Linked DNA regions of Drosophila melanogaster. The protein of the gene in region 2 interacts with the protein of the main gene of each other region in a pairwise test. Each region holds a gene or a part of one and is shown on either strand. Other genes may lie near its edges. The genes, in order: zye, Cep290, sna and Rbp9.

Region 1 (7,048 bases), about 20 Mb from region 2:
ACTTGCACTTTGGGTCGCTGAAGTACCCCTGGCTGTAGATGACTCCCTCGAAGTCCTCGGAGAACTCAACCTCGACCATCATGCCACTACCTTGGTCGCATTTCACATCGATCTTCTCGATGTGCTTGGCCGACAGAGAAGTGTCGCGCGTTAATCTGGGCGAGGAGTCGTCAAACTCAAGTTCGCCTAAAACGTCATTGAGCGCCTCATCATCACTCAGATCAGTGCCCCGAGTGGTGACCTTGACAGTTATACGAAATAATAATCAGCAATTTAATGGTTTCTAGATGGATATCGATCGGTGTGTATTTACGTACCAAGAGCAAGGCCCACACGAAAATGTGGCCGACGTTGACCATCTTAAATGTAAGTCTTGAGCTTTATTCTGAAAAACAGTCAATTAGAGTGTGTTTAATATATGATAATGGTGTGTACTGGAAGCGGTTTATGATCTTCCGAATCGAAGAGCTTAATTTATTGCCTATCTGGTGGCTAAAAAAAACACATAGTTCACTCAATATTTCTACTCTGAAGTATTTAAAAATATTAACATATTTATTAGTTATCGTTGACCCATAGCTAAGGACTATTATATCTTAAAGGCTGACTCAAAAATTAAATTAAAAATTATTTTCCTCTTTGTCTCAGCAACGAATACAGTAAAAACAAGATAATATTTCTGTTTACAGTTTGTGTAAATTAAGTTTATGACCGATTCGGATACTGCGGCGGTAGTTTAATCACGTAAGTAACCTTCCACCTTCGGGTGACTCACTAGATGAAGATCTGCGGAAAGGGCGCTTTCGATGGGATCAAAAGGGGTCATATATCAAACAGCATGAAGGTGACGAAAAATTAATTCACCGAAAATCCAGACATATATTTGCATAGGTCGGGCTTGTCAAGCGATCTCTAGCGCTGGGTGAGGTAAGATCTTCTTTATCGCTAATTACGGTTGAGTGCAACCTGTCGAGTGTTTACACGAGCTTCGAAGTTCGAACAGCCGGACGGACCTCTTTTGCCCGACGAATGGAGGGTGCTGCACCAGCGCGCCACTAAAACGGGTTTGGTTTTTAAATAATACAACTAACCTTTAAAAGAGAAGAAACAAATGGGAAAGATGCTGCGGATTTCAAAATCCATAAATTCAAGACTCGCGCACGAAGGGAGCAGGGCGGCGAAACAACTAGTGACGAATGCCTATTTGCTTAGCCGCAGTTGATAAAGGCGCTTCGATTTGGGTCTTTTTGGGGCCTTTTGTTTGGCATTGGCTTCTGCAATCTCCTCTTGTTTTTTGCCATCTCGCATTTGATGTTGGGCCCCGGATGATTAGGTGTTTTTTTTTTTTTTTTTTTTTTTTTTTGATTGAGGCCCCTTTTGTCTAGGTTATTCCAAGCATTAAGCTAACGAGGGGCGAATAAGTACCATTTGATTACGGATGACTTGGCGTGTGAAGTCTTCTGTTTTTGTTCTTACGTCACTGGTTAATAGAACCCAATGCTAAGCATTTCTTCTTCCTCATGAATAAATCCTACATTAATCAAAAGTCCCATGGATTAAAAAATATTATTAAGTTTTATCTGTTTTCTTGTTCTCTTGAATATTCTAGTAATTTCCCTTTCATTTGTATAATCTTACTGGTTTCCCCGAAATGGAAACAACTTTTAGCTTGTAAATACAAACGCGTCACATTTGGCAAGAGGTCCAGTAGATTGTGATGAAACACCGCCCATTCATACATCCGATTCATATTCAACACGATTAATATGGTATCTCTTTTGCTCCCAACTTTCCGTTCGCTTAATCTTCAGCGACCCAATTTTTTGGGTTTTTGGAGGTTCGAAAACATTGGCCTGATATCTCAGTTTGCTGTTTTTTTTTTTTTTGGTTTTTGGTTTTTTGCGGTTGGGTTTGATATGACTGCATAATTATGGCCAATTTGATAAAAATTGGTTCACCATGTCAAAAAATTGCTCATTTAATTTTGCCACAGATTTATATTTGCCAGTTATCACGATATTGTTATTTGGCCCCTAAGATTAATAGTCCGGGTCGTTTATTTAATTGCTAAACAAACACATTAATGGCTTGTATGGATTAAAAGACAAACTATAGAATTAGGAGATATATGAGATAGATATATATAGGTACACGATCATCATTCTGTATAATTGGGCAATTATAACTCTGAAAAGCGATTATTGATTTGGGTGTCGAAATGTTAAGTCAGATAGAATGGGTGATCCCGGTTGTCTGCGCAGTTTGCCAGCAATCATATTCAATTGTGTTGGCTAACGATTGAGCGTTAATAAAAACAGCTTGGACATTGATGGCTTCACCCTGAACTTTTGACATTTCAGCGCCTCGCATAGGCGTATATCTTCGTATTAATCACGGCGAACAGGTGATTAGACCGCGGGCCTCACCACCACGTATATGCATATAGCCACATTTGTATATTATGCCAAATGTGTAAACTATACAATCCGAATACGCGAGTGATCTCCTCCAGCGATTGATTTAGCCGACATTCCATGTCTGGGTTCGGGTACTCATAACTTGGATTCAATGCTCTGCGCTGACAAATTGGTGAAATGCGGCTAACTTGCATTGTTGGCTATCAGTTATGGGCAGTTATCTTGTCTCGGCTTATGGCCAATTTTGGATAGGCGCCGATTTGGTAAGATGATCGCTCGTTTCTCAAATAGACATGTTATGAACAATCTAATTTACATTTTTGTGACGCACTTAATTGGGTATTTATGGACACTTTGCATAGATTGCCAAGTGTTGGCCATATTTTCGATCGCCTCACAAGGAGCTGGCTGATTTCAGATTTAATGCATTCTTAATTTAATTCTTATTCAAGGTACTTAACTAAATGAAACACACACAGTTAGCAGATTTGACAAATTAACAACGAACGAATGCAAATGGCATTCAGGCCCCGGATCTGCGAAACTTGTTTCTCGTCTAAATTAATTACAAAGAAATGCAAAAAACGGGCAAACGGACTTACGAAAAGAATGCTTTTCAAGGCTTAAATCAATTGATCTTCTCCGAAACTCATTTTTACAAATATATAAAAAATATACGCAGTTAGAGACCGTGAAATTTTATAAGGTGTATTATTTCGGGTTTAACCTGAATTAGCGTTGTTTATTTTAGCTTTACGATTCTGTCATATTGTAAGTCTTACTGGATTTGGAGAGGATATAATTACTTGCGTCACAGTCATTTACTTTCTACTTTTTTTTAAAACCAAATATCTATATATGTAAGTGAGATAGCCGGCTAAATGTAAATACAAGGTCAAATCTGCGTGGGTCGTAATGGAAAAAGCTAACAATTATTCAAGTTTGGCGACCGCAAAGTTGGTCAATTTCTTATTAAAACTTACCAAATCCTGCATCTTTATTTTTTACTGATTTTAAATGCATGCGAATATGCAATATATAAAATATGCAAAAGCGAATAATACCTTAACTTTGTGGGTCGTAAAACTGAGCAATTTTTTTAATGTTTAAAATTTCCTTAACTTTTTATGGATTTAAAAATAAATGTTGCACTAGTTAATAGTATTTTTTTGGTAATAGTTGGATTTAGATTAGATGTATCCACACATTAAAACTGCTTTTCAAAATATTCCAACTCTAGAGCGGATCATCGAGTAAAAGTTTAGTGAATCCTTCCATACTTATGTATGTACATATGTTCATTTCAGACGAGTTCTTGAGTAACCACTTGGACCATTCACTTAGTTAATTGAATCGATTCACATTTTCTGGCCTTAATTAACGGCCTATGGAGTTGATCACATCAAATCACTGAATGTCTTTTGGTAACATAGTGGAACACTTTGACCATTTAGTCGGCCATCATACGGATATCACCACTGGACCGCTTGGATAAACTTGGACTTACTGCACTGGCTGGTGGACTTGGGCTCGGGAAAAGATCTGGCTGGGATGCAGCTGGCGAAGTGGACGTTGCCGCACTAAGCGCCAAAGAGACTCGTCTTCGTTTATATACACACACGGCGTATGATTTAACAGAAATCGTTTCGGATATTGCCTCAAAAATCCAAAGACGCGGCAAGTAAAATACAACGGCAACAAAAACAGAAACCGAAAATAAAAAAACAAAATACAAAAACGACAAATAATACAACCAATGCTAGTAGCTTAATATATTTGTTGTTGTTTATTTTACGTCGCTCGTGGTTTTATACACGCACACTCCACTAAATCGGGTACTACGATTTATTGGCAGGTTGTGATTATTTATTCGCCGCACTACACGGGTAGCACACAAAACGGATACAGATTAGAATTTATCTAAATAGTACCCGCTTTCAAGTGAACTTCCAAATGTCAGAGGTCAGCTTGCAAAACACCTTATATACTTCAATTTGTTTGTTTCAATTTGTTTGAATTAAACGAGTTATACGATCACGGGTATAATACATATTCGTTTATGGGGGTGTGTCATTTGAAACGTAATTGCGAAGCTGGATTTATAATTATAGCACTTTATTAATTATTATTAAAAAATATCCATGGTCTGTATCATTTTTAGATCATGCTCCACAACTTTATGCATATCTTTGAGGTCCTTTGGAAAGTTTAAGGACTAGATTGATATATATGTTATATTTATAAAATGTGAGATAGGTAAAAATATCAATATAAATATGTTGCAACTAGCTGTTCTTATTAGAAACGTAGGTTAATGATTTTAATTTGGATATTCGGCTCATCTGTGGGCTCAAGGTCGCCGAAATATCTGGAATCTGTATCTCAGGGCATATTGATCAATCTTTTCATGGGCGTTATCGTTGCATCATGTCACTATCATCAATTTAACCCTTTCCGAATTGATTGCTCAGAGTTAGGGCATCCAGTAGCCCGGCGCCTGGAGCCAACTATTTTTTCCATTCATATGGAGTTCGTGGGCAGCGAGACGCGTGAGCACCGTCCACTCGCCGTCTCCCCTAGCCATTTTAGCCATTTGAGTCGCCGTCTTAGCCATCTTGACCCAAGCGCGCGACTGGCACATTTTGTAGCCAGCTGAAAAATGAAAACCAAAAACTAACAACTGAAAACTGAAAACTGAGCTGAAAAACTGCACCTTCGCCGGTGTGCTTTTAGGGCCAAAGAGTCAAAATCCGTCATTGCAACTACCTGTACTACAAGATGTGGGCTCCAAGGGGGCGGGGATACCAAACGGGGTAGTGGGACTTTGGCCATATGGATATGGAGGTGTGCGATGGAGATGTTGTCATGCAACTACAGCCGGCATTGCGGACAGGTTGACGACGAATTCGGAGCCGATGCGATGCCGATGCGCCTGGTCATCCCTAACAGGTATTAGTATTCAAAGTTTTGGAAGCCCAGCGTCCGCTTCGTGATGCTGATAGATTTTCGCAGCCAAATGGCAACGGTCATGGCGAGATGGCGATGGTGGGCTGTCGCCATGGGAAGAATACGGATGGAGACGGATGGTAGGGTAATTCACTTAGCCACCGTCATATGGTTAGGCCGAACCCGAATCCGTATCCATATGCCGGCACGATCTGCATCGCGATGCCAGAGGTGCCTTCGAAGGCGCTTCTGCCTTTGACAAACATCACGTAACCCAGTCTGCCAGTGGATGGTATCTGCTGCTCCCAGAACCGCTACTAATATATTTGATATTATACTATAATAAGTAGGGTAACCATCCCAGAAGGGTCTGTTCTTAAAGAAGGATCTATATCTACAAAGGTTTAGTCATCCAGTCATAATCATAACGTTATCATAGAGATATGAAATATAGTACCGCATTTCTTGAATGTAACCCTATTAATAACTAATTTCCCAACTTAGCTTTATAAGAAACACACTTTGCTGAAAGTTGAATCAATACCCTAAGAGTATTTTCCATTCGACTTCATAGTACTTCTTTACTTAAAAACATTGCATTAAAGTTTCGTTGATTGGGCCTTTCAAGACATAATGAAGTGTTGCGGACTATACTTAAAAACACCAACATATGTTTAATGGAAAACGTAATTTTTGGTCCCCATAAAGGGTGTGACAACCTATCTCTCCCGTGGATCAGCAAAGATCACATATTCTTGCATTCGCTCGGCGGCAGTGACAAAACAAATTCGTGATCAGACATTTCGTTATTACCGGACATTGTTGGCTACGAAGAAATAGGCAAAAGTAAACCTCACTTGTTCTCCAAGTTTTGGTAGTGCAAACACACTTTGTGGCGATTAAAATTAATTTCAGACATAAAATAATAATAATACAACTTATTGGCTGTTTATTTTAAAATTTTATTGCAGGTATGGCAATAGCATTCGCGGTACTCATAATTTCCCTATTTTGCTAATATTCGGAATATTTATCTACAATCAGTTGGCATTAATTTTTAAAGACTTTTAGCTTAAAATATACGATAGTTTTGTAAACGCATTATTCTAATCATCACTAAACGACATTCCACTTATAAATGTCGATCATTTGATTGGCAGGAGCAATAACAATTTGTTTAAAATGGTTACGCTTATTTAGTTTCCGGTTTTGGCTCACAAACACAAGCAAGCTTTCAAACGAAGTTAATTGGCCTTTAAAAGTATGCTCCATCATATGGAAATATATGCAGATATTTTATTTACGATTAGACGGAATTAAATTGTATACTTTGCGGGGCCCTACATGTATTTATCTCAGTAAAAACATAATACAAAGAAAATAGTTTTAAGGTTCAACTAAAAATTTAAATATTACATTAGAGATTATTTATCGCATTGAAAATTAAAAGACATCGGAATATTCCGAATAATAATTTTGTAGTATCGTTTTTTGTATCATTCACTCTATAATTTCCATATTGAAGGTTTTTTAAAAACTACAACATTTAGTGTGGCAATTTTATCGCACTTCAAAAAAAGCTCGGTGACGAAAGCTGCCTCCTGGCCGTGTGCAAACACTCGGCAATTCGCCCACTGAGCTTTCGAATTTGATGCAAAAATCGATATAGTCACAGCTGTTTGTGT
Region 2 (10,096 bases):
GTTTACCTTTTAGCTTACATTCAGCGTTGCCAGAGTTCATTTGTAAGCATTAAATATTTCGATTAATCGATGTTTTAAAATATATTTAAAAATTGATGAGTTGTTCAGTACTTCAAACATGTATTGCTTAAGGATGCCTTTAGTAAATTATAAATAGTAGCTCCGTGGGTCCTTCCATGGTGAAGATACATTTTGCACTGGCACGAAATGGAAAAACGATTTCCATGGGCGGAGTTATGACCGCCGTTTTGGACGCCGAATGGCATTGTGTGCCCCAAGTGCCACTAATTACGGGTTTTAGACTAAGCTGCAGCTTGTAAACAACAATCATGAGACAAGAACCCGGATAGTGGAATTGCTGACGGTCAGAGCTGAGGAGCATGTCGAGGACTTCGGATGACATCCGGAAGCACCTGAAAGTGCGGCGCCAGAAGCAGAGGGCCATTTTGGCCATGAGATGGCGCTGTGCCCAGGGAGGATTGGAGTTCGAGCAGCTGGACACCTTCTACGGAGCCATCAGGCCATGTAAGACCACTTTTCCAAACCACTTTCATATGTGTCTAAACATATTACAATGGACAATAGATCTGTGTGTGGCGCAGTTCTTCGGCATTATGCCTTTGTCGAATATCCGGAGTCGCGATCCCCAGGATGTGAAGTTCAAGGTAAGGAGCATTGGCCTGGCAGTCACCGGTCTCTTCCTTTTGCTCGGTGGCATGAAGACCTTGGTCGGTGCCAATATTCTCTTCACAGAGGGTCTGAATGCCAAGAATATCGGTGAGTTTTAGATGGTATGGTAGTGTGATCCCAACTGAAAGCTCAATAGTGGGTTTGGTTTTCCTTATCGTGGGCATGGTCAACTGGCTAAACTTCGTGGGCTTTGCTCGCTCCTGGTCGCACATAATGCTGCCCTGGAGTTCGGTGGACATTCTGATGCTCTTTCCGCCCTACAAACGTGGCAAGCGAAGCCTTCGGTCAAAGGTCAACGTCCTTGCTCTGAGTGTGGTCGTCCTGGCAGTAGGTGAGATTTCTGGGTTATCCTTTCAATGGTTTCCAGAAGAACTTTCTTTCAGGCGACCACATGCTGTACTACGCCTCTGGCTACTGCAGCTATAGCATGCACATCCTGCAGTGCCACACAAACCACTCGCGTATTACCTTTGGACTTTATTTGGAGAAGGAGTTCTCCGACATCATGTTCATCATGCCATTCAATATATTTTCCATGTGCTATGGATTTGTAAGTTAACTATATATATTTTAGTTAGTTAGTTTGAATAATGCTCTCTTTTTTAGTGGCTAAATGGAGCCTTCACCTTTCTGTGGAACTTCATGGACATCTTTATTGTGATGACCAGTATTGGACTGGCGCAAAGGTTTCAACAGTTTGCCGCTCGAGTTGGCGCACTGGAGGGTCGTGTAAAATAATCCAAACTATTTCAATGTATTTCTCTTTTAAATCCCCATCCCATTTAGCATGTTCCCGAAGCCTTGTGGTACGACATTCGGAGGGATCACATTCGCCTTTGCGAGCTGGCCAGTTTGGTGGAGGCCAGCATGTCGAATATAGTGTTCGTATCCTGCGCTAACAATGTGTATGTGATCTGCAACCAGGCGTTGGCTATTTTCACGTGAGTCATCTGTTTGTAGCTACCCCCTAGTCTCATTTCAAATCTTTTTAGCAAACTGCGGCATCCCATAAACTACGTTTACTTCTGGTACTCGCTGATCTTCCTGCTGGCCAGGACGAGTCTGGTTTTCATGACTGCCTCCAAGATCCACGATGCCTCGCTTCTGCCCCTGAGGTCCTTGTACTTGGTGCCCAGCGATGGCTGGACGCAGGAGGTGCAGAGATTTGCCGACCAGCTGACCAGCGAGTTTGTCGGATTGTCTGGATATCGTCTCTTCTGCTTGACAAGAAAGAGTCTCTTCGGAGTGGGTAAACTTCACGAGTCTTCACGATTCCCATACTGATCCCAGCCATCCTCTCCAGATGCTAGCCACCCTGGTGACCTACGAACTTATGCTGCTGCAAATAGATGCTAAGAGCCACAAGGGACTGCGGTGCGCGTAACTAAATGAGTGAACTTTAGTCCAGTTTAACTTAACTGAATGTATAATAAAATAGTCAGATAATCAGATTTGAAAAAGGGTAGATTCCTGCGAGGAAAAGTCAGTTAGCAGCTCATGTGTGAGTTCAGCCAACCCGACTCGGGCGGTTATTAAATGGCCAAAAGGCTTCCAGGATAATTGGCCATTCCGAGTGTCATTTCAATTTCAATTTTTGGCCAGCTGTCATTCAGCGAGGGCGAATCCACAAATGGGAGGGCAACCAAAGTCGCTTGCCATTAGTTTCAATTATTGCTACACATGTAGGCAAACGTAATTTTGAAGGCAACTCGATGAGTTTTGAAAGGAGAAAGGAGTTGGAGTGCACTGAAAAATATGTTCGGAAGCTAAAGTTCTAAATAATAATAATCTTATCTTTACTGCTTACTTCTAAACCCTTTCAAAAGCCACTTGGTGTGCTCTGAACTAAATACCATTTTTTTTTCGAGTGTAAGAAAAGTTAACAGAAACACGAGAAGGCGGCGGAAAAGTCGCTTCGAACAGAAATGGCTTTTCAATTTCAAAACTCGGCCTTTGACACTTTGCCAATTAACACTTTCCTGGTTACCGATTGCCATTTTTGTTTGTGGTGGGCCACCGGCTGCTCCCACCGCCGATCCTTGCCGCTATAGCCGCCGTTGAGGCAATTATCCTGTCAGGAAACTTTCTACGCAGCCGAAGCAGCTAGCAAAACAGAACGCCAGCAAAAACAAAGGTCCTGCAGGTTGGTCACTTGAAAGGAGCGCGCCGGCACCCTCGTTTCCGGAAAAGCAACCCCCGAATGGGTTTTCAGTCGTAGTTTGTTTTGGGCCAAGTGTCATGGCAACCGGAAAAACTGGAGAGCTGGTGTGGAAAATCGGGGAATATTTGGACGCAGAACGTGAGTAACCGCCGAGGAGCGAGGCCATGAGCCACCAGGATGAGCATGGACATACCAGAGACCGTATCCCTGCGCAAGTTCCGCGACTTTTCGGCGCGCCAGAAGCAGGAGCTCTACGAAACGCTCCTCGAACTGGCCGAGTCCATCGATGAGCTGCCTAAGAAGTCGCTGAGGAAAACCCTGGAACTCACCCTGGCCGTTTTGGAGTACAAGGGCGAGCAGGTACAGCAGCTGCAGGAATCAGCAGCCGGAGGACTCTCCTCCGACCGCCGCCTGCAGGATGAGAATGAGAAGCTGAAGCGAATGCTCCAGAAGTTGGAGGACGAACGCGATGGCCTGAAGAGCAAAGCCAAGGAGGTGAGCAGTAGATCATGTAAAGTACCCAAGCTCAAGGATACGCTTTTTTCTCACTAGTTGGGGGAGGAAATCCGTCAGTTGGAGCTGCGCCTGCAGGAGGCGGCGCAGCAGGCGGAAATCAGCGACAAGGATTCATCGGATCCCCTGTCCGAGCTGGACAAGCAGGAGCAGCTGCTGCAGAACATCGACTCCAAGAACAAGCACATCAAGCGGCTGCTAAAGGAAATCGAGGTGAGTCATATTATGTTTTGCATTCAGAATATACTATATTCATTCCCTTTCAGACACTGCAAAACCAAAACATAGCTCAATCGAAGACCATAGTGCTCCACGAGCGGGAGCTGCAGACCATCAAGGCGAATCTCGTGCAATTGAGCCAGGACATCACCAAGGTGGAGCAGGAGCGCAAGTCCTTGAAACAAAAGGAGCAGCAGCAGGCGCTGGAAATCACTCGCCTGGAAGGAAATCTAACTTTCCTGGAGGTGGAGCGCGAGAAGCAGGAGGTGGAAATGCGTCAGTTCCTGGACAAATACGAGGCCAAGTCGCTGGGCTGGAGGCAGGCGCTCGACGATCGGGACAAGGAGGTGGAGCGTCTCAAGAAACAACTGGAGGGCAAAAGCATCAGCTCTGGCCAAACCAATTCTTCCAACAGTCAGAGTCAGCAGGAGGAGGAGCACGCCAAACTACGACAGGTAAGGATGAACTGCCGATATATTTTATCTAGATCTTGAGCTCGCTAAATGTTCATCCCTCGTAGCTTTTGGAATCCCGGGAACAACGCATCGAGAAGCTGGAGGAGAAGATCAAGTCAATGGCGGAGGAGATGGTTAGCTCCACGCGTGCGATGAACCAGTTGTGTCAGGAGAAGGAGCGAGCCCACGATCCCGAGCAGCCGCGAGCCTGCTGCCAGATGATCGAGGAGCGCCTGCGGGAAGCCACCGCCCGGTGTCAGCAGCTCTCGGAGATGCTGGAGGCCGCCGAGCAGGACAACGTGCTCAAGTCCCAGCAGGCCCTGCACGCCATTAGTGCCCTGGAGGCCTACAAGCGTGACGAAGATGGCCTCATTCCCGCTCTGCGACGCTGCTCGGGATTGGAACAGAAGGTGGCAGCACGCGACAAGCAGCTGAGGGCCTACATCCAGGAGCTGAACTCCCTGCACGAGGTGGTCCAGGAGAACGAGCTGCTGCGGCGAAAACTTCACATCCCCGACGATGTGGTCATCATGGCCAAGAACGTCCATTCCAAGCAGCGCAACAAGGACAAGCAGATCGAGCGACTGACCCTCAAGCTGAGGACATCCGAGGAGCTGCGTCTGCAATTGAAGTTGGAAAAGAGTGAACTTAGGCGGAAGCTCTTGGAGTTGCAGCAGGACAGTCCGCAGACCTTGAACGAATCGCTGCAGGCGCCCAGCGAAGTGGGTGAAGTGCCTCATAGTGTGCATCTGGAGAATTCGCCGAGACGTGGCCAAGGCGACGGGGCAGCCAGTTCCGAGATGCAGAATCGATACGACGAAGTCCTGGCCGAAAATGAAACACTACGCTCCGGCATGTACGAGATTCTGGAGAAGCTGCGGGAATATGATGGTGAGATAACCATAACATATTTCTTGAATAACTATATGTATTAAACATTATCCATGTAGCCACCTCAGAGCACATAACCATCGATTCCGATCTCTTGCGCCGCCTCATCGAAGCTCTGCCCGGCGGAACGACCACTCCGCAGCGACTCCAGGGTCAGCTCCTAGAGCTGAAGGCCCGAGAGGAGGCACTGCGTCAGCTGCTCGAGCAGCAGAACTACAGTGACTCCGAGACGGGAGAACTGTCCTCTGTGCATAGTCTGTGCGAGGTTCCCGAGATTGCAGAAGAGCATCCTGTCGAGGAGGATGCTGTGCTGAACACAGCCACCAGGCCAAGCTCGCCCACTGAAGCCACGATGGGATTACGCAGACCCACTGTACCAGATCCCGAGGAGAAACCCACGAACGAGGCCCTGGCTGAGCTCTCCATTCTGCGCAAGCACTACGACGAACTTCGTCTTCATATGTCCGCCGATGGCAGTGATCTGATGAATCGCAACCAAGAGCTCCACGATCAAATGATCGCTTTGGAGTTGCAGTTGGAGCAGCAAAGGAATTCCTACTCCTACATGCGCAGGGATTACGATCAACTGCTGACGGAGACCAGAAAGCAGGAACTTCGCTTCATAGATGATAAGGCGTCTCTAGCCAGGCAGTTGGAGCATAGCAAGAGTGAACTATGTGAAGCTAGAGAGGAGTTGGAGCAAGTGAATCGAAGGAATCTCTACACTGCGGAGGAGCAGCAAAAGTTGGAGCACAGGAATGCCATCTTGAGCATGCAACTTGGCCAGGCGATGGAGCAACTGCTGGGCGAGCTGAAGCCCACGGAAATATGCGCTGAGTACGGTATAATCAGGGAGAACTATCAGCTGGATTACATCACAGCCCAGGACTTCGAGGAGCAGCAACAGGAGCTGCTCACTTGGAGGAGCAAGCAGGCGGAGCTGCAGAGGGAGACCAAGCAGCTGGAAGGACTGCTCCATGTGGCCAATGAGCAGGTTGGAGATTCTCCTTGATACCTACCCATGGGAGATCTAATGCCCATCCTCTTTCCAGATTCACTCCCAGCAAAGGCTGCTCAATGAGATCACCGATAACCACATCAATCTGCGTCACCTGGTGGCCGATCTTCAGAGCAGCTCCGACGAGAAGCTAATGCTGGCCAAGGTCCAGAGGGATCTGGATAGTGGTAAGCACAGACTTATTCGAGGAGAAGATCAGTAGCCAGCATGTCTCTCTTTTTTTTTTTAGTGAAAGCCGAGTGCTCCCGCTTGGAAACAGAGCGAGAAAAACTGCAGCTAAAGGCGGACTGCCTGCAAACCCAACTGGAGGCCAGCGAGTTATCCCTGAAACAGACGCAACAGGACTTCCAGCAGGAGCGCACCAATAGCGATATTAAGCACAAGTGAGACCAAGTGGTGGATAATCCCTAGCAGATCTGACTTTCTACCAAATCCCACAGATTCCTCCAGCATTCATTGTTTATGCTCAAAGATAAATATGCCAAATTCACGCCACTGGTCTTCCTTACCAACTTTGTGTTCGCCTACCAAAAGTTCCAGCGTCGCCTGGAGGAGGAGCAAGTGCAGCAGCGACATAGAGATCACACCGCTCTGATTGATGAAGTGACCGCCGTGGTCCAGGCCAAAATTGGTCTCAACGAGGAGAGTTCCCAGCAGTTGGTGAAGCTCATAAAGTCTGAAACACAGACGAGACTCTTGGAACAGCGCTGCGAGATTCTGCAGGCCAAACAGGAGGAGCTCGTTCGGGAATTGGGTGAGTTGAGGATGAGCCAGGCCACCGACACCGAGCACTGGAGCACCATCCAGGCCTTGTTCGGTGAAGGAGAGCCAAGAAGTCAACTCAAGGTGGATGCAGAGACGAATACCGATGCAGTGGCTCCTAATCTGGCCATGAGAAGGGCCGTCCAGTTGATAGACAGGGAGTCATCGCCCATTGGGTCGCCTCTCCGAAAACATCCGCACCTGGATACAGCCACTCAAACGCTGGAGGCGCAAGTTGAGTTCTCGGAGACGGCAGTCCAAACCAATGGCATTCTCAGCCAGCAGAATCAAGCCGTTCAGACAGCGGATGCAGTGGAGGACAATAGGAGAGATTCCCGCGCGGAGCTACAAAAAATGCAAGAAACGTAAGTTCCCCCAAGTAAAAAATGTAAATAACTATTTGCAACTATAAATGGTGATGCCCAACAGTCTGCAGGAAGCCAACCAGCGCATCGAGATCCTTGGCAAGCAGTTGGAGGCTTCCAGATCGGAGAGTCGCGAGTCCGCCAGTCCGCAAGGTGGTGTGGTGGAGAAGACCATACTCTCGTTCCACACCCTGCTCCTGGAGAAGGACCAGTCCATACAAAAGTACCAGGACCTTCTGCAAACCGAGAGGGATCAGAGTCAGCAAGCACTTAGCAAACAGGTGGCTGAAAACGAATCCCTGAGGGCCACGGTTAACAACCTGAACTTCAACATCAAGACGAAGGATGCAGAGATTCAGGGCCTTAAGGAGAAGCTGAGACAGAAACCCGAGGTCCCCGTGGAGCGCAACCCGTCGACGGATTCGAGGTCCAGTTCCAGTTCCGATAGCTCGGTCAACGAGCTGACGGATGAGAAGATCGAGGAGCTCTTCGAAAGCAGCTCAGTGGAGAGACCACCCCAAGAAGAGTTGGAAGTGCCAGTGGAAGCAGGTCCAGAGAACATAGTTACCGAAGAGCCCGAAGGTGAGGAGGAGAAGCAGGACACCGAGGAGCTGAAGGAAGTGCCGACGCTGCACAAGCAAATCAAGGATCTCAAGGACAAGCTGGAGTACAGCGAAAGGAGCCTCAAGACGAGGGAAGAGGAAGTGGATATACTAAAGGAGAAGTAAGTTGTAAAGTAAGTAGTTGTGCATGATCTTAATCCGTTACATTCGACAGGTTGAAGCTGTGCCAGGAGCGGGAGAAGTCGGTCGAAAGCACCGTGAATCCCGAACTGGATCAGCTACGCATCTTTCTGGATGAGAAGGACAAGCACATCAAGGATCTGATGGATACACTCAAGAACTTCCACGTAATGCCCAGCAATACCATCATATTCATCTCTACTATTAAAAGTTTTAAACATGCAGGACGACCAGCAGCGCTACATCAAAGACACCTCGAACTTCTCGGAGGACCAGATAGCCAAGCTGGCTGCCGATCTCAACCGCACCGAGGCCACCAACAAGATCTATCACACCCAAATGGAGGCACTTCGCCGCCAGCTGGCCAACGTCACCCAGCGCGAAAAGCAGGCCAGGGATCTCAGCCAGTCGCTGCGCCAGCAGCTACTCAAACGCCCTGTGGTCTCCATTAAAACGGAACTGAATGCCCGGGTTAAGAACGAGAACCAGCTGAAGAGAATCCAGCAGCTGGAATTGGACTTGGACGAGGCACGTGGCCAGCTGCAGCGACAGCAGACGCTCCTGGAGGCCAAGCGCACGAGGAGTGCCAATGAGGTGCAGCTCTGGGAGAAGCAGAAGCGGTACCAACAGCAGGCGGAGAAGACCAAGGCCCGGCTGGAGGAGACCGAGCTGGCGCTGGAGAAGACCCGTGCCCTTCTCCAGGCAGCGCGCACCACAATAGCGCGCTTGGAAAAGGACAAGCAAATCCTGGAGTCCAAGCTGGGCAGGAACGGTCCGCCGAGCAACAGCTCCGGTGGCAATAACCTCAAGTGCTGCCGCACTCCATCCTGTCCGAATCTCCAGCACGTGGGTGTCAGCAAGTTCGCTCCATCGCCTTCGGAGAGTCCGGAGACCTACACGGGTCCCAGCAGCGAGTGCAGCTCTCCGGCGCATCATCACACCCAGATCTTTGACCAGAGTCAGTTGGACCTTATTGAGGCGCTCAAGTCGCGCATTGAGCTGCAGCAGCGCAAGATCATCGCCATGGAACTGGAGGGCAGGGGCAGCAATGCCCTGACCACGGAGCTGGAAAAATTGCAAGAGCGCTGCCAGGCCATCGAGGCGCAGAACATCCGACTGGAGGCCAGGAACCTTCAGCTGCAGCTCGACTCGGATCTCTTGAGGCAGGGCGACAGCAGCGATCGGCTGCAGAAGCGAATCAAGCACTTGGAGGAGTGAGTAGAGAGCGGCAGTTTCCACGCGTGTGAATCGAGACTTATGCACCACCCCCATTTTTCAGCTACATCATGGCCCTGAAGGAGGAGATGGCTCGCAACGAATCCCGTCGAGAGTTGGGCAGTGGCCTCAAGGTGAGCACAAATCAGGGCCAATCGGCGGAGCAGACGATCCTCTCGCTGCGCAATCTCGTGGAGAAGTTGCGATCGGAGAACAAGTTCCTGAAGGATGGTCGACGATCCACGGAGTCGCGCAGCTCCATGGACTCCACGCCTGCAGAGGCGGCACGTCTGCAGCAGCAGCATGCAGAGGCGCTGGAGAAAATCAGTGCTCTGCAGCAGGAGTTGCAGAAGCGAACCACCAAGTGCAGCCAATGCGGGGGACGCAGCAAGGTAGGTACCGCTCGTAATAATACACCTTCGGCAATAATTGTGTTTGAAATTTAAAAAAAAAAGGACGCTGCCAACGAGGAGCTCAAGTTCATCAAGGAGCAGTTGGTGAAAAAGACGCAGCTGCTGCAGAAGGCAAAAGTACTTCTGACCCGTGCTGCCGCCAAGGAAAAAGTCCTGAGGGAACAGCTGGCCTTGTGGAAACGCAAGTGCTCCGAACTGCAAAATGTGCCCGTGATCGATGAAATCAGCGAGTAACCAGTATTGATCATAAGATGAATGTTGTACAGGAAAAAAGAGGAATAAAACTAAAGTTTTTTTCACTGCTGCTGTTTTGAATTTGGCGCCCAATGCAGAGTTGCCAGATCGAGGTGGGCTAAAATCGTTGGGGATGTGAAAGTTACGGGATTCCCCCGAATTTTGTTTTACAGGATATTTAAATTTATTTAATAGGATATTTAAACCATGAAATAATGTATCTTTTGCCAGATTAAGAAAACACTAAGCCATTTGCCAGTCACAGTGAACAGTTCACCAACTATCGCTTATCAACTGTATGGCTTGGAATACCCCTGATGCCCACTAATCGGATGAATTAAACAACAATAGCTACCGGCAATCACAGTAAAATGATCCACTGATTGGACTTTGTCGCTCATTCCGCGCACAGCACTG
Region 3 (6,408 bases), on a different chromosome or scaffold from region 2:
ACCGCAACAGAGTTAAATAATATTTACACACTTCATTTAGGAGACACGTGTAATAGGCTAAACAGAGTGTTTAGTGTGGCCAATAAGCAGGACACACGCGATGTCCCCTAATCAGCTTAGTCGCCGTAGCATAATGGAACGTTGGGGGCAGCGATGACGACAGGACACTGACAACAGGATCTGTAATGTCGGCACTGAATTGACAGGATAACGAACCGTGAATAGGCGCGAAACCTGCGTCGAACCTCAAAGAAGAAGGGAAGCCAAGGGGGAATCGAACTGGAAGTCAAGGCAGCTGCCACAAGTGCAGGACTTGCGACAATAGAGCTTGCTGCTGGGATGGTTTTTGGGGTCCGTTTAGATTTTCAGACCCGCCAGGGTCGGGGTCGGGGGTCATTCACTATTTGCAGCGAACAATGGGCCACAGGTAGCGATGGAACCCGCACCCGCACATAAACGCCGACAGATACGGCCAGGTGATCCAACTTTTTGATTTCTTCTGGCTAAAGGACATTGATACGCCGGCCCCGCCGAAGGATTCCGAGAAGCAATTCCTTTCGCTGGCTTTTCAAAACATTTACTCCACTGTATTTGGCCATTGTGCCGCGAACCTACCTATTGATTGTGCAATGCACCCGGTCCACATGCACACACATACAGCCCGTGGCAGTGATTTTCCCTGCTTCTCCGATCTTCGATTTATGGATCGCAGCTCCTTTGTTCCGTGCCAAAAAAAGGAGAGCCTGACCTGGGGGTAGTATAGTAATCAACAATTCATTGTCAACGACATCACACATCGTATATCTTGGGCCATAGTTTGTTTTCCTTGGTGGTATCCCTAATGTTCGTTCCTTTCTTTTTCTCTCTCCTCTTTATATCTTCGTTTTTGCAAAAGGTTCACCAGGCCAGGTGACCTGGATATACTGTTAGGCTGTGATGGCCTGTGAAGGAGTGGGGGTTTTGGTTAGAGAAACACAGTCTAGGAAGCTGAAAAAACAGTTACAGTTATCCTTGGGCGAAAATGTGATATGATTTTTCTGAGTGTTTTATGCGAATATTTAATAAGAAGAACAAAACGAAAAACATTTTTTACAAGCTCCGTAACATTAATTATGAATAAAATTACAAAGTTCAATGTGTTGTTCTTAAAATACATTTCGATCATCGTTCATAATGTCTCCTTTTTGCACTGGTTGTCGACCTAGTTCTGTTTTGTGACTCGGATTTACTATTTCGCATGGCTCCTCTTCGAACAATGTCAGTCGAGCTCTGTAGATCCCTGTGTTCCCTCTTCATTGTCAACTTGAACAAATGAGCCAGGGAACAAGGTGCAAAAATGGGACGGTCCTATTCTCAGCAAAAATTGACAAGAACAACAACAATGTCTATGGAAAATCGAACTTCATCCCAGCACCTGCAGAAATCCCGAGCGAGTCGGGGAAAAAGTATTTAACCCCCGAAAGGGTTTTCCCCAAAATAATGAAGTAATGAATGAAGCGGAAAACACTGGCCGCCAATCTACCTAATACTAATGAGCGGGCCAACCCGACCAGGAATTTTTGCAAGTCAGGTACTTCAACGGATATATGGGTTCGACAAGTGCGGATTTTCCCGCGACATCAATGAGGACTTGGCCGGGTTATCCGCGGTGCTCATCGGGCAATTCCGCGGCCGAGGACTTCATCGTAGTGATCATTAGGTAGATATGTGCATGGATGTGACATGGCGATCATTGCGCGGAATAACACACGTAATAACCGAGATATCCGGGATGACCCACCAGGTAGGATGTGAGGACATATAGAAAACCCCCAGCCAGTTTTTCCACTCGTCGTGGCTTGTTTTGCTTGAGTTTCGCTGACTGCGTAATTGGATAAGATGGGAAATTACTTTAAATCCTTCGCTGATCCACATCCGGACATTCGTCGAAGGAAAATCCATTGCAGGGAAATACGAAATGGAAATGCGGCTGGGTTATTGGCTCGACATTTCCCATCTTCCCTCACGCCATTGGTTGCAGGATCGCGGGGAATTGGAATTCCGCGCTGGAATTTTTTGTCACCTCTTGGGTTTATCAAAACTTTTGGGTTTGCTATGGATTTTTTCCAATTTTACCACCGCGCCTGGTTTTTTTTTTTTGACGACGCGGAAAATCGGACTTGGCTATGCGGGCTTGTCTGTTTTTCCGGGTACAAAGTCTGCATGTCAGCCTCCATGCGGGAGTGGGAGTTGGGAAAGTTTCCCATCGATAGTTGGAGGGGTGGCTTGAAAGTCTGGAGGTGCTAGCTGGGAAAGTTGTGTGTGCGCGATGAGGCAAGGAGTCAAAGATCAGGGGAGTTGGAAAGCGAGAATTGTGGGAATCGTCCAGGACTCAGCTGGATGCTGAGGGGCAGTATGATTTTTTTTACGTTATCAATCGAATTGATTTTAAGACAGCAGAACTTCACATACTAATAAGATGACCATGGGATTAGTTAAAATGTGTAACTCGTATTCGAATCGTCATTCTTTCACGGACCAATCGTGGGAACAGGAGATCTCTTCGATCCAAGCTCACAGGAGACTTGACACTCTTCGTCTATTCCTTGTCAAGTTTTTAATGACATCTCCTATGCCCTGAGCTATGTTTTCCTAGCTCTCATCGATCGCTGCCAATGAGCCACTGGAGATGATCCATAAGTCAGCGTAGAGTGCACCCCAGAGTTGACACTTGGTGTCTCGGAATTCGGCTCATTATCAGTGCTATTTTTGGAACACCTCTCTGCGAAGGTGTCATTTTTGTCAGTGCGTATCGCTCAGGTTCAACTCCCCACCAAAAACCGAATTTAGAGCATCGGCAGATGTACTTGAAGCACTCAATCTAAGTGAGGAAACCACCCCATGAACGAAGAGTACTAGGAGTCCTATTTGACTCGTGCTTAAAAATAGAAAATTACTTAGGGTGATCCATAGGTAGGGAGGCGATATTGTAACTTGCATTTCGGACCCGGACCTGCACGAGTTATTACGGGTGGGTTGTGAGCGTATCGGGAAATTGGAGAGCCACCAGATCTGTCATAACTTATACGGGGGATCCTTATTCCTGGGAGGGTGCGCCTGCGTCTGCTCTTCCGAGAGAGAGGTGGGAAATGGAGGAAGAGAGAGAGAGAGAGAGTGAGAGAGCAGGTAGAGGGAAGTGAGGGAAATACGCAATAAGGGTATGGGAAAAGTGCTGTTGTTGTTGCTAGGTAGCGACGCACACGTGCGAGTGTTTTTCTGTTTTGAAGAAGAACCACCACCAAATGGCGACAGCGGCGTCGGCAGAGGCGCAGAGTTCCGGGTATAAAAGAGCGTGCTCGACTGTTGACCTGTCACAGCCACCTCAGCTCTCGTTGAGAACGCAACCACCGCTCTATACTCGATCCCGAACTATATAACTCGCCTCTCGATCGCCGATCTCCCGATTTACCCATCTCGATCAGTACCGGAAACTAAAACTTAATCACACACACATCAAAAATGGCCGCCAACTACAAAAGCTGCCCGCTAAAGAAGCGCCCCATTGTCTTCGTGGAGGAGCGTCTGCCACAAACGGAGGCCTTGGCCCTGACCAAGGACTCACAGTTTGCCCAGGATCAGCCGCAGGATCTATCCCTGAAACGGGGTCGCGACGAGGAGACCCAGGATTATCAGCAGCCGGAACCGAAACGTGACTATGTGCTGAACCTTTCAAAAACACCGGAAAGGAACTCCAGCTCTAGCTCCAACTCCTGCCTGCTGTCGCCGCCAGTGGAGGCCCAGGATTACCTGCCCACCGAAATCCATATGCGTGGACTAACGGCAGGAACAACGGGATATACCACCGCCACCCCCACCACGATTAATCCCTTCCAGTCCGCCTTTGTGATGGCCGCCGGTTGCAATCCGATCTCTGCCCTGTGGAGCAGCTATCAGCCCCATCTGGCCGCCTTCCCCTCGCCAGCCAGCTCGATGGCCTCGCCCCAGTCGGTCTACAGCTACCAGCAGATGACGCCGCCCTCCAGCCCCGGATCCGATCTGGAAACCGGTTCCGAGCCAGAGGATCTTTCAGTGCGAAATGACATCCCACTGCCGGCTCTGTTCCACCTTTTCGATGAGGCCAAGTCCAGCAGCAGCGGTGCCAGTGTAAGCAGCTCATCGGGATACTCCTACACTCCGGCCATGAGTGCCTCGTCGGCGAGTGTTGCCGCCAATCATGCCAAAAACTACCGCTTCAAGTGCGACGAGTGCCAGAAGATGTACTCCACCTCGATGGGCCTGTCCAAGCACCGTCAGTTCCACTGCCCGGCAGCCGAGTGTAATCAGGAGAAGAAGACCCACTCCTGCGAGGAGTGTGGAAAGCTGTACACCACCATTGGAGCCCTGAAGATGCACATCCGCACCCACACTCTGCCCTGCAAGTGCCCCATTTGCGGCAAGGCCTTCTCTCGACCCTGGCTGCTCCAGGGACACATCCGCACCCACACTGGAGAGAAGCCTTTCCAGTGCCCCGACTGCCCACGATCCTTTGCCGACCGCTCGAACCTGCGAGCTCATCAGCAGACCCACGTGGACGTCAAGAAGTACGCCTGCCAGGTGTGCCACAAATCTTTCTCCAGGATGTCGCTCCTGAACAAGCACTCCAGCTCCAACTGCACCATCACTATTGCGTAGGATTCTCGACATATGAATCCCTTAGCAGGACACAATTACCTAAGCAAACTCACATTCCGCTGGCGAAGACCAAACAAACAGACAATACCTATTATAAGTTTGTACTAAGTCGATTCGGTTTTGGTGCTACTATTACTATATTTATTTCAGCTATAGTATTCTAAGTTTAAGTTCATGTATATTGCCTCATTGTCACACGCAGCATTTTACCAAATCTATTCATTTAATTATAATATACCCTTATTTATGTATTCTCAGTACTGTTAAGCCAACTGTTGTTAAGATTATTCCTAGCTTAAAGAGAAGAATTAAATATTTTTATAAAATAAAACTCACGAAAAGAAATTTATATGGTCTTTATTATTTTTAACAATTTTGAAAGAAATTCTCACAGAAGGAAACTGTATAGAAATATTCAATTTAAATTCTATCACTAATATTTGGGCTCAAATACAGACAGATGTGAATAAAAAAATTTAAAAATTTGTAACCAAAAGTTATAGAAAACATTTTAGGTAGTAACAGCATTCATCGAAACGCATTAAAAAAATGTAATCTTTCCTTCTACAGTTTCTATGTGCCTTCAAAATGTACAATAATTAACAGGAAACCAAACATCCGCATTTTGGGGTCTGCCCCTGTTCATATTTTGTGACAATTTCCGCCAACCCTCTCGAAAAACAGAAATCACAACAATAGCAATATCGAATTCTCGGAGAAAACACCTTTGGCATGTGCAAACAGGGAACCGATTTGTCATACACTTTCCTTTTCGGGGACTTCCTTCTAACCCGCCCCCATTAATAGCATTCCATCAATTTCAATCCATATCGCTCGGCGTTTTGCACCTTTTGCCAATGCAAATATTTAATTAGCTGACACCGACATCGCTTCACGTTTACATTTCTGCAATCCTTTTCCAGCATTTTGCCGAACTGATGGCGGCGCATGCGTCCTGAGTCCCTAAAGGATACCAAAGGACACCAGAGGACCGTGGAGTGCAGGTGATAAACGTAGCGACGGCTGCTTATCGAGTCCTTCCTGATTGACTGGCAGACGGTAGTTCAGGTCCTGATTGGATTGGATTACCACCGAAGCATGCTCTAAACCGAGAACCCGTCGAGGTTTATCTGACTATTTGATTAGACCCGCGCGGTGATAATACTTTAGTTTGAACAGGTATGAGGAATAAATCCAAGATATGGGTGGATATTTTAGCTTAGGCACGTATGGTTATCAAGGCAAGGTGAGTGGGTATTTGGATTCAATTTGTTAATAGCCATGTTCTAATAGATATTAGTTCAGAAATGTTCACTGATACAATTCAGTAGTTGTAAGATTTGCCAATAAACATTTAACGATTCTTTTATTATTTAAGGAAGTCCCGTAAATGTGTGACTCTAAAAACATAAATAATCGAATGCGGGTGTGTCGGAATGGGACAAGCATTAGCGACATTATGTTGCAGTTGCAACACCTTTTGGTCATAAATAAGGCTCACAAAAATCCATTCCCAGAAGGAACCAATGCAGACAATGACCAATCATTCCAGTTCTACGGTAATCAGAGCGCGTTTCTTGTGCAATTGCAAAAAACTGCAGCACAGATGCAACTGGTCACAATGCATCAGCTGTAAGGAAAACACCTTGCCGGGTGGACAATGGCTAGAACGCAGTACCTGTCGCCCGATTGTCTGCCCAAGATTCCTTCACCCAATGACCTACTGGGAGAGCTGGG
Region 4 (7,168 bases), on a different chromosome or scaffold from region 2:
GCTATCTAAATAGCGCTCACGAGTTGTGGGATCAAGCCGATCGATTGGTGCGCACAGGCAATCATATAGGTGAGTTGTTTAGGCGTCCGCCTAATGATATATATTAATGATCAATGTCTGAATCCATTAGATTTCATCCGAGAACTGGATCACGAGAACGGCCCGCTGACGCTGCATAGCACCATGCACGAGGTGTTCCGGTACGTGCAGGCGGGTCTCAAGACGCTCAGGGATGCCGTGTCGCATCCGACGCATCAGTCGCAGTAGCGACAGCGGCAATATCAACCGCAAACGCAACGGAAGCGTTGGCGGAGGCGGAGGCGAAGGCGGAGACGGAAGCACCACCAAACGTGTCTAAATGAAAGTCAGGCCAAATTAGCAACTATTATCTACTACAAGCTACTAATTTAGTTAGTCAAGATGAGGAGGAGGAGTAACGAATGAAATGAAATCGAAACCAACAACCTTCCAACAGAACGATTATAACCACAACAAAAACAACACAAAAATTTGATTTGTTAATACTTTATAATTTATATATGTATGTAATTGTATATGCACACCATTTACTTATTTCCTTATGCTCAATTTTCGATTGTTTAAGCATGTTAAGCTTTATATTTATGCCTAGTTTTAATTGATATTACCACAAAGAAAAACAAAAACACACATTAAAAGTTATATTAGCTCTACGTCTAGTCTGTAAGCTCAAAAACGAAAACCCAACCAGCCCACCCCCCCCCCCCCCCGCCCACCCTACCCCCTTTTCCTGTTACCCAAAAACATAAACATTTTAGTTGAATTTTGTTTTCGTATGCGTACAGTAAGGAAGATGAACGGCTTTTTAAATTGTTTAAGTTTTAGTTAATTTTACTTTGCAGCCTTGGTAAAGAAAAATGTTAGCAAATATAATTATACATATTATGGCATATATAAAGAAAAGTTATAGTTATAAATTCTTTATAATATTTCTATATGAATTATGTTTAACGCAACTATTTTATTAATTTTAAATTAATTTTTAAAAAGCAATCACAACACGTTTTTAGAACAAAATACATGAATGAAAACAATATATATTTATATTAATATATATTTCAAATATATACACGCAATTGTATTTCTCTTTTGGTTTTATTTCTTTCAACCCATCCATAAAACCACCTCATCCACAGTCTATTCCCAACATAATTCATAAATTCATAATGGGTGCCTCAAAACTCTCACACAGACGCAACAACTAATAGTGCATTAGTAGACTTAAACGAGTTAAAAATCAATCGAAATAGACTTGCCCTCGAAATAGTTATATAAGCTGTACATATAGCCGCCAGTATACAAGAAATATATTTTTAAATGCCAAAAAGTGAGCGCTGTAAACTACTTTAAGCCAACTTCAATCAGCAGAATTTGAAAATGAGTGGGGATTGGGATAGGATGGTACGATGGTAGGATGGTAGGATTCTGGAATACATTCATATATTGACCGAGTTGAGCAGCCAGCATTTTCTTGTTGACTTTTATTTTGGCATGTACGAAATCGAAACTACGAAAATCAAAGCAAAAATGTAACGAAAAACAAAACGGAAAGCAAAACAAAGTAAGAAAGAATATTAAATTAATATTAGTAATGGTTCTGGGGAAACAAGGCATTCGCTCGCATTCGACAAATGAAACCGAAAACAAACATTTAAATTGTAGACAAATTTTAAGTTATCACTAAAATGACGAGTGCCGAATGCCGATGGAGAATTTGCGCAACTTTATTGTGCAGTGCAACTACATAAGTGTAATTATTATAAATTGGTACACATGCATACATATGTATTGTTAATTATTAAAACGATGTAAATAATACAATTACGTAGGCGGGAAGACACGGACACAAACATGCATATAATTAAAGTAAGCATAATTACATGCCTAACTATAAATAACTATATATTGGTATATATAAAGATATATAATATATATATATTTTTATATATATACACGATGAATTAAACTAAACAACGTAGAAATCATAGTTAAATTTTTTCGAAGTGACAAGATTAACGTGCAGCAATAAGCAACCGACAAGAACAACAACAACAACCACAACAACAACAAAAACAAACGAAACGCGCCTAGTAATAGTTAATAATTCTATTTTGTTAAGCGTTATTGTAGTGAAACGAAACAAAAGAAAACCAAACAAAAACAAAAACAAAACCGAACCGACAGATCGAACAGCAAAACCAACAGAATTAAGTTTTAAGCTGGACTTTGGAACGTGGAAAGCGAGTAGAAAACCAAAATGAATGCAAAACATGTTGTTCATTGACAAAGCTAAAAGTAAATATATATTTTGTACAAATATAATTAAATTCAGCCGCAGCTAAAACCAAGTACACTTATTAAAGTTTAAGCAACAACAGAACAACAACCAATTTAATATGCAATTACCGTAACAGTAGTTGATAAATCGAACGAATAAAACATCAAAAATTGTAACATTTACATAACTGCCTTTTGTGTCTTGCTTTTTTTTAACACTATGGATGGTTGTAATAACGGAAGGAGATGCTTTAAAAATTCAGTGTGACCAGGCAAGGTTATAAATTCATGTCCATCTGTTTCAAACAAAAGCTGGAAATTCTTAACTCCTGTTCCTTAGGGGAACACTTGAAGCCGAATGCAATTAAAACGATTTCTTATCTTGATAATGCTCATGACGAAAGGAAGTTTCGATCAATACGAGAAAAACTTTTTGCATGATTAATCGATCAGTGCTGGTAAGTCGCCAAAGTAGTCTGTCAGTGTTAGCAACTCAACGTGTTACTTGCTGTGCTTTCGACAGCGTGGTGTCGATTCTTCGAATTCATCGTTTACAACTTCATCATAAGGAATGCAAAATCAAAGCGATTTTGTGGGTGAGATCCCCAGGTACACTCGCAACAAGAGAAGGCAATATCAGCGCCAACGACGTAAGGCACATCCGCAAATTCCAGGGGTATTAACAGGAGGACCAGAGCCAGAGAAAGTCAACAATTGTCAGAGAAAGAGACCCATCAAGGGCCACGTGTATGACTCCACCAGCGAGGAGGATATGACCATCAAACGTAAGCATACAGACGCCTCGTGGTACAAGGTTCAAGTTAAATGCGAGAATGTGTCCCCGAACATCGAGGAGAAGCACGGCAACAAGATCAAGCAGCCTTCCTTAGCGTGGAACAACAACAGGAAGCCCAATAAAGGGGATCTACCACAACCACCGCTATCTTGGCTTTATCCCAACCAATCTAGGGGCTTTTATGACAACCAAAGCTGGAACTCTGGCGGCTCACGTCAGAATCAGTCGCAGTGGGAAGCACCAGTAAGCTGAAAATCAATTATTCATTTAAATAATTAAATTAACCGAATTTTATATGCACATCCGCAGAGGCAAGAACATTCATCTTCAGCTCAAGGCCGTAGTGCCAGGAACCCATATCTGAACCCTATTCAGGAATCCTGCAATGGGCGTTATATTATTGAACATCAATGGAACACGACCATTATCCATCACAAGTAAGGTAAGGCAACAAGAATGAATTACATAAAAACCTATTCGCTAAAGAAGATTTAACACAGCCACTTATTGTACACAAATCTATAGTATGTCATTTATAACTACATCGTGGGGATTTTCCCGATTTCCCAAACACAGGACATTTTCATGAAAGGGCCTTACATGTCTGATCAGTTAGGTAAGGGTTAAAAGCGCAACATTTTGAGATGCATTGGGCCCCAACACCTATGCAAAGTGAGTGCATGCATGTGGGTTGCTGTTATTGTGATGGTGTGCAAGCAGCAACAAAACAAACCGCATATAAATAAGGAGAGCGAGGTATTGTTGCATACTTGTAGGCAGCGGGATGGGGGTGGAGCTGTTCTGTTCCATCCGCTCGCAAAGTTCAATGGTCTTTTGACACAAATGATGATGATGTCAAGTTGAGCTCGTCCTACGCTCCTGCCTTGCTCTCTCTCTCTCTGATGCTCTTTCTAGCTTGCGCTCTTGGGTTTAAAGCCCCTCTGGCACCTTCCCTTCAGTCAGCAGCCGTTGTTGTTGTTGCTTAAGTGTTTGTTTGGGTGCCGTGCTGGCTCTCTCAGCTCCAACAACAGCAATGCGGCCGGCTTACGAGCCCCGGCTCTCTTCGCCTCTTTTGGAGCTCGCTCTTTGCCGAACGGAGAACCTACCGCAATTCGTTTCGTGTTCACGGCTGCATTTCCTTGTTTATGTTTTGCGAAGCCAAATGTAGGGTACATCGGTTAAGTGCCGAGCCAGGAGAAAGAGAGAGCGAGCGAACGAGTACCGTTATGTTGCCGGAGCTGTTGCAGGCTGCGCAACTTGCGGCTGCAGCTTTTTATTATTTGCCTTCTTCTTCGCGACCGTTACTTCTCGCATGGTACAATGGTGCAACTGTGCCCAAGCTGTATATTGAAAATAAAACAGCACTTCTGCATCTCACTGATGTGCAATGGCATTTAAGCTTATCCTGAAACGTGTCAGGTGCATTTACTTATTTCTATACATTTACAAATTGTTGCATAGGTTGTCTTTTGAGTTTAGTTGGGACCGAAATCCATTATTTCAAATAAAATAGAACAACATTTTGGATATAACAATACATATTTAGCATATGTCAGGTCAGTCTAATATTATTATCTATATTTGCAACACAAGAAAGTAGAAGGGTTAAAGTTCGCGCTCAATGTTTGAATTTGTCCCACTGTGCATGCGAGAGCAAAACTACGCAGTTATGCTGTGCATTCGCCACCGCCCCCCTCCCGCCCTCTGCAGGGCCGTGCTCAACTGTACGCCAATTGGAGGAGAGGAGGAGCTCTGCCGCTGGGGCCGCGGACTGCGGCGCGGCAGCGCTGTCACGGGTCCTGGCTGCAGTTATCCTGGCGGCAATCGAACACTTTAATCATTTAGTTCTTGCACTCTCCGGCAGCAAGTTGTGTTTTTTGATTCTCGTCGTATTGTCGTCGTTTCTGAATTGTTGTATATCGGTATCAAAATACACACATCTTGCATACTCACGCAACTACGCCCACATACACATATACATGTACGTGTGTCCAATTGCACGTAGTGTGGAATCCGAATCAGTATCGAAATCAGTTCGAAAACCCTTAGTGTGTGCGTGCTCAATTCAGTTTTCAAATTGAAACTACATCATTTGCAACGAAGAACATTTTCCAGTCCCAGTTCCAGAACCATTTTCTTTCGAGTCGAGTTGGGAAAATCGGTGTTGTATGCTTTGCGGCGCTGGCGAATAAATGTAAGCGAACAGAGAAGAATGCTACGGATATGTAGTTACAGTTACAGTTACACCATTTTATTTGCAAAAGTGCCCACACCCAAAGTCGATTTTTCGCCTGCATTCGTATGTGTGCGAATAGTAAAACGGAGCTCAATGGGGCGGCTTGCAGTCGGCGAAATCTCAATTTCTCTACACTCTGATATATATTTGCCGCCTACACACACACACAAGCACACAGAAGTCCATGCAGCTGCGTTTCGTGCAGCGCCGGCATCGCAGTTTTCATTTCGCTGCCTGCAGCCGCCATTTAACCTAAAAAACGCCGCACAGGAGCGGTTTCTTCAGAGGGAGTCGATCCCCAAAAATAATGATTTATTGACCTGTTTTCCATATAAAAGTTTCCTTAAAGCTAGTTCGTACAAATGTGGCACAAAGTTCCCTTGATTAGATGTAGATTTTCAAATGGTAGAAGTTCGAGAACTTGTTACAAGACTTGAAATTTTCTAGTGCAATTATCGGATTTATTTATTTTAAAAGAAATTCTTTAATTTCCGTAGTAGGATTTCTGAGAGATTATTGGAGCCCCTGATCTCGGAGGGACCCCTTCGAGACGGCCCTGCTTAGGCAGCGCAGTTGCCGTCGACGACGACGCCAGCTTGCAGTTAAGCTCGCTCTCTGGCTCCCATTCTCTCTCTGTGGCGCTCAATAGCCATTGCATATCTTGTGGCGCGCTCAGCTGACTGCTGCGCTTTCGCTGCAGCCTGCGCTCTCACTGTCTCTCCCGCTCTATCTCTCCGCCCATATATCCTGTTTATTTTTGCCGCACCCAAATCAAATGCATACGGCCTCAGCCGCCGTCCTTATAAGTTCCTCTACTTTGCTGACCCGTTACTTGTCCAGAACTCCTTCGCTCGCTCTCTCTCTCTGTCTCTCCTTTCATCCGCTGCCTTTGCCTTTGCCAAGGTGTGTCACTTTTTTGTTTTGTTCCTGCCCTTTGAACACTTCTTCCCCATTCTTCCAGTATTCGTAAGTGTGAGTGCGTGTGTGTGTGTGTGTCTGCATAGGTATGTGCCATCAAATCCATCAATTAGCCGGAAACAATTTCCAACTATTTATGAATGAAAATTAATGGTTGCGCCCCCTTATTTTGGGGGCGTGAATCGAAAGAGGAGGAAAGAGGAAGCTTCCTTCGGTTGACTGAAAACAGAAAAGGACTTCAGGAGCTACCAAAAAGTTTAAGAAATTTAAAGGAGTGTCAGATATTCTTAAAGAGTGTAAAAAAACTGATTCTATATTGATGCAGTCTATGAGGTCTAATATATGGTACAGTTTTTTAATTAACATATTAATGTACACATTAGTTTACGGTTAATTATTAAATAGTAGATAGGACAAACGCACTTACCATGACCGGAAGGCGGCTTATTTGAGCAACTGCTTTGCAAAACAGATTTCCCCGATTATGCGCAGCTGTCTTTGGAACCAGAAATGCATTCGTAACTTTGGAGTCAAGCAGATACTCTGTCGAATTTCGATTTAAAAGAAGTTCCCATAACGCAATTATAGAAATACTGTGCACGTAAGTGTGTATGTTTGCGCAAAATCCAATTATAAATTACCTCCGCCGTCGAGCATCTGAGGAATCCACCTTGCGGATATATGTGCTCGTGCTGTAGGAAAACATATAGCCGTGTAAGTTTGATCCATTCCCATCGGGTGGCTTTCTCTTCCCCGAGCGGGCGAAGAGCGCTCGACAATGACGAATTCTGTTTCTGGCCAAGAAGCGGCGCTCTCTTGTAGCTCTTGGGGCTCTGCTCTCCCGATTCTTGGACATGAGGCAGCAGTACGATTGCCCTCGTCGGTGGGGCATAAAAATAATT

The links.
Region 1: the proteins of Cep290 (region 2) and zye interact in a two-hybrid assay, tested with the Drosophila melanogaster proteins (one large-scale study listed by BioGRID).
Region 3: the proteins of Cep290 (region 2) and sna interact in a two-hybrid assay, tested with the Drosophila melanogaster proteins (one large-scale study listed by BioGRID).
Region 4: the proteins of Cep290 (region 2) and Rbp9 interact in a two-hybrid assay, tested with the Drosophila melanogaster proteins (one large-scale study listed by BioGRID).

What each region holds. Positions count from the first base shown.
Region 1 is NT_037436.4:20,410,543-20,417,590, reverse strand, and holds the start of zye (zye), read right to left. Parts: upstream 3,988-7,048; 5' UTR 3,925-3,987; intron 386-3,924; 5' UTR 360-385; coding exon 318-359; intron 242-317; coding exon 3-241; intron 1-2.
Region 2 is NT_037436.4:841,338-851,433, forward strand, and holds Cep290 (centrosomal protein 290kDa), read left to right. Parts: upstream 1-2,588; 5' UTR 2,589-3,028; coding exon 3,029-3,346; intron 3,347-3,403; coding exon 3,404-3,577; intron 3,578-3,630; coding exon 3,631-4,038; intron 4,039-4,103; coding exon 4,104-4,929; intron 4,930-4,988; coding exon 4,989-5,923; intron 5,924-5,981; coding exon 5,982-6,114; intron 6,115-6,176; coding exon 6,177-6,330; intron 6,331-6,387; coding exon 6,388-7,074; intron 7,075-7,138; coding exon 7,139-7,798; intron 7,799-7,851; coding exon 7,852-7,984; intron 7,985-8,042; coding exon 8,043-9,031; intron 9,032-9,096; coding exon 9,097-9,424; intron 9,425-9,487; coding exon 9,488-9,679; 3' UTR 9,680-9,743; downstream 9,744-10,096. Other genes in the region: Gr61a (gustatory receptor 61a), read left to right, coding at 381-525, 586-777, 827-1,021, 1,074-1,240, 1,297-1,419, 1,477-1,631, 1,683-1,935, 1,994-2,074. UniProt on the Drosophila melanogaster protein: Essential for ciliogenesis in sensory neurons and spermatocytes.
Region 3 is NT_033779.5:15,475,198-15,481,605, reverse strand, and holds sna (snail), read left to right. Parts: upstream 1-3,345; 5' UTR 3,346-3,498; coding exon 3,499-4,671; 3' UTR 4,672-5,013; downstream 5,014-6,408. UniProt on the Drosophila melanogaster protein: Essential for the correct specification of ventral-dorsal patterns.
Region 4 is NT_033779.5:2,951,959-2,959,126, forward strand, and holds the start of Rbp9 (RNA-binding protein 9), read left to right. Parts: upstream 1-2,803; 5' UTR 2,804-3,355; intron 3,356-3,421; 5' UTR 3,422-3,549; intron 3,550-4,952; exon of another isoform or gene 4,953-5,306; intron 5,307-7,168. Other genes in the region: lilli (lilliputian), read left to right, coding at 1-69, 131-267.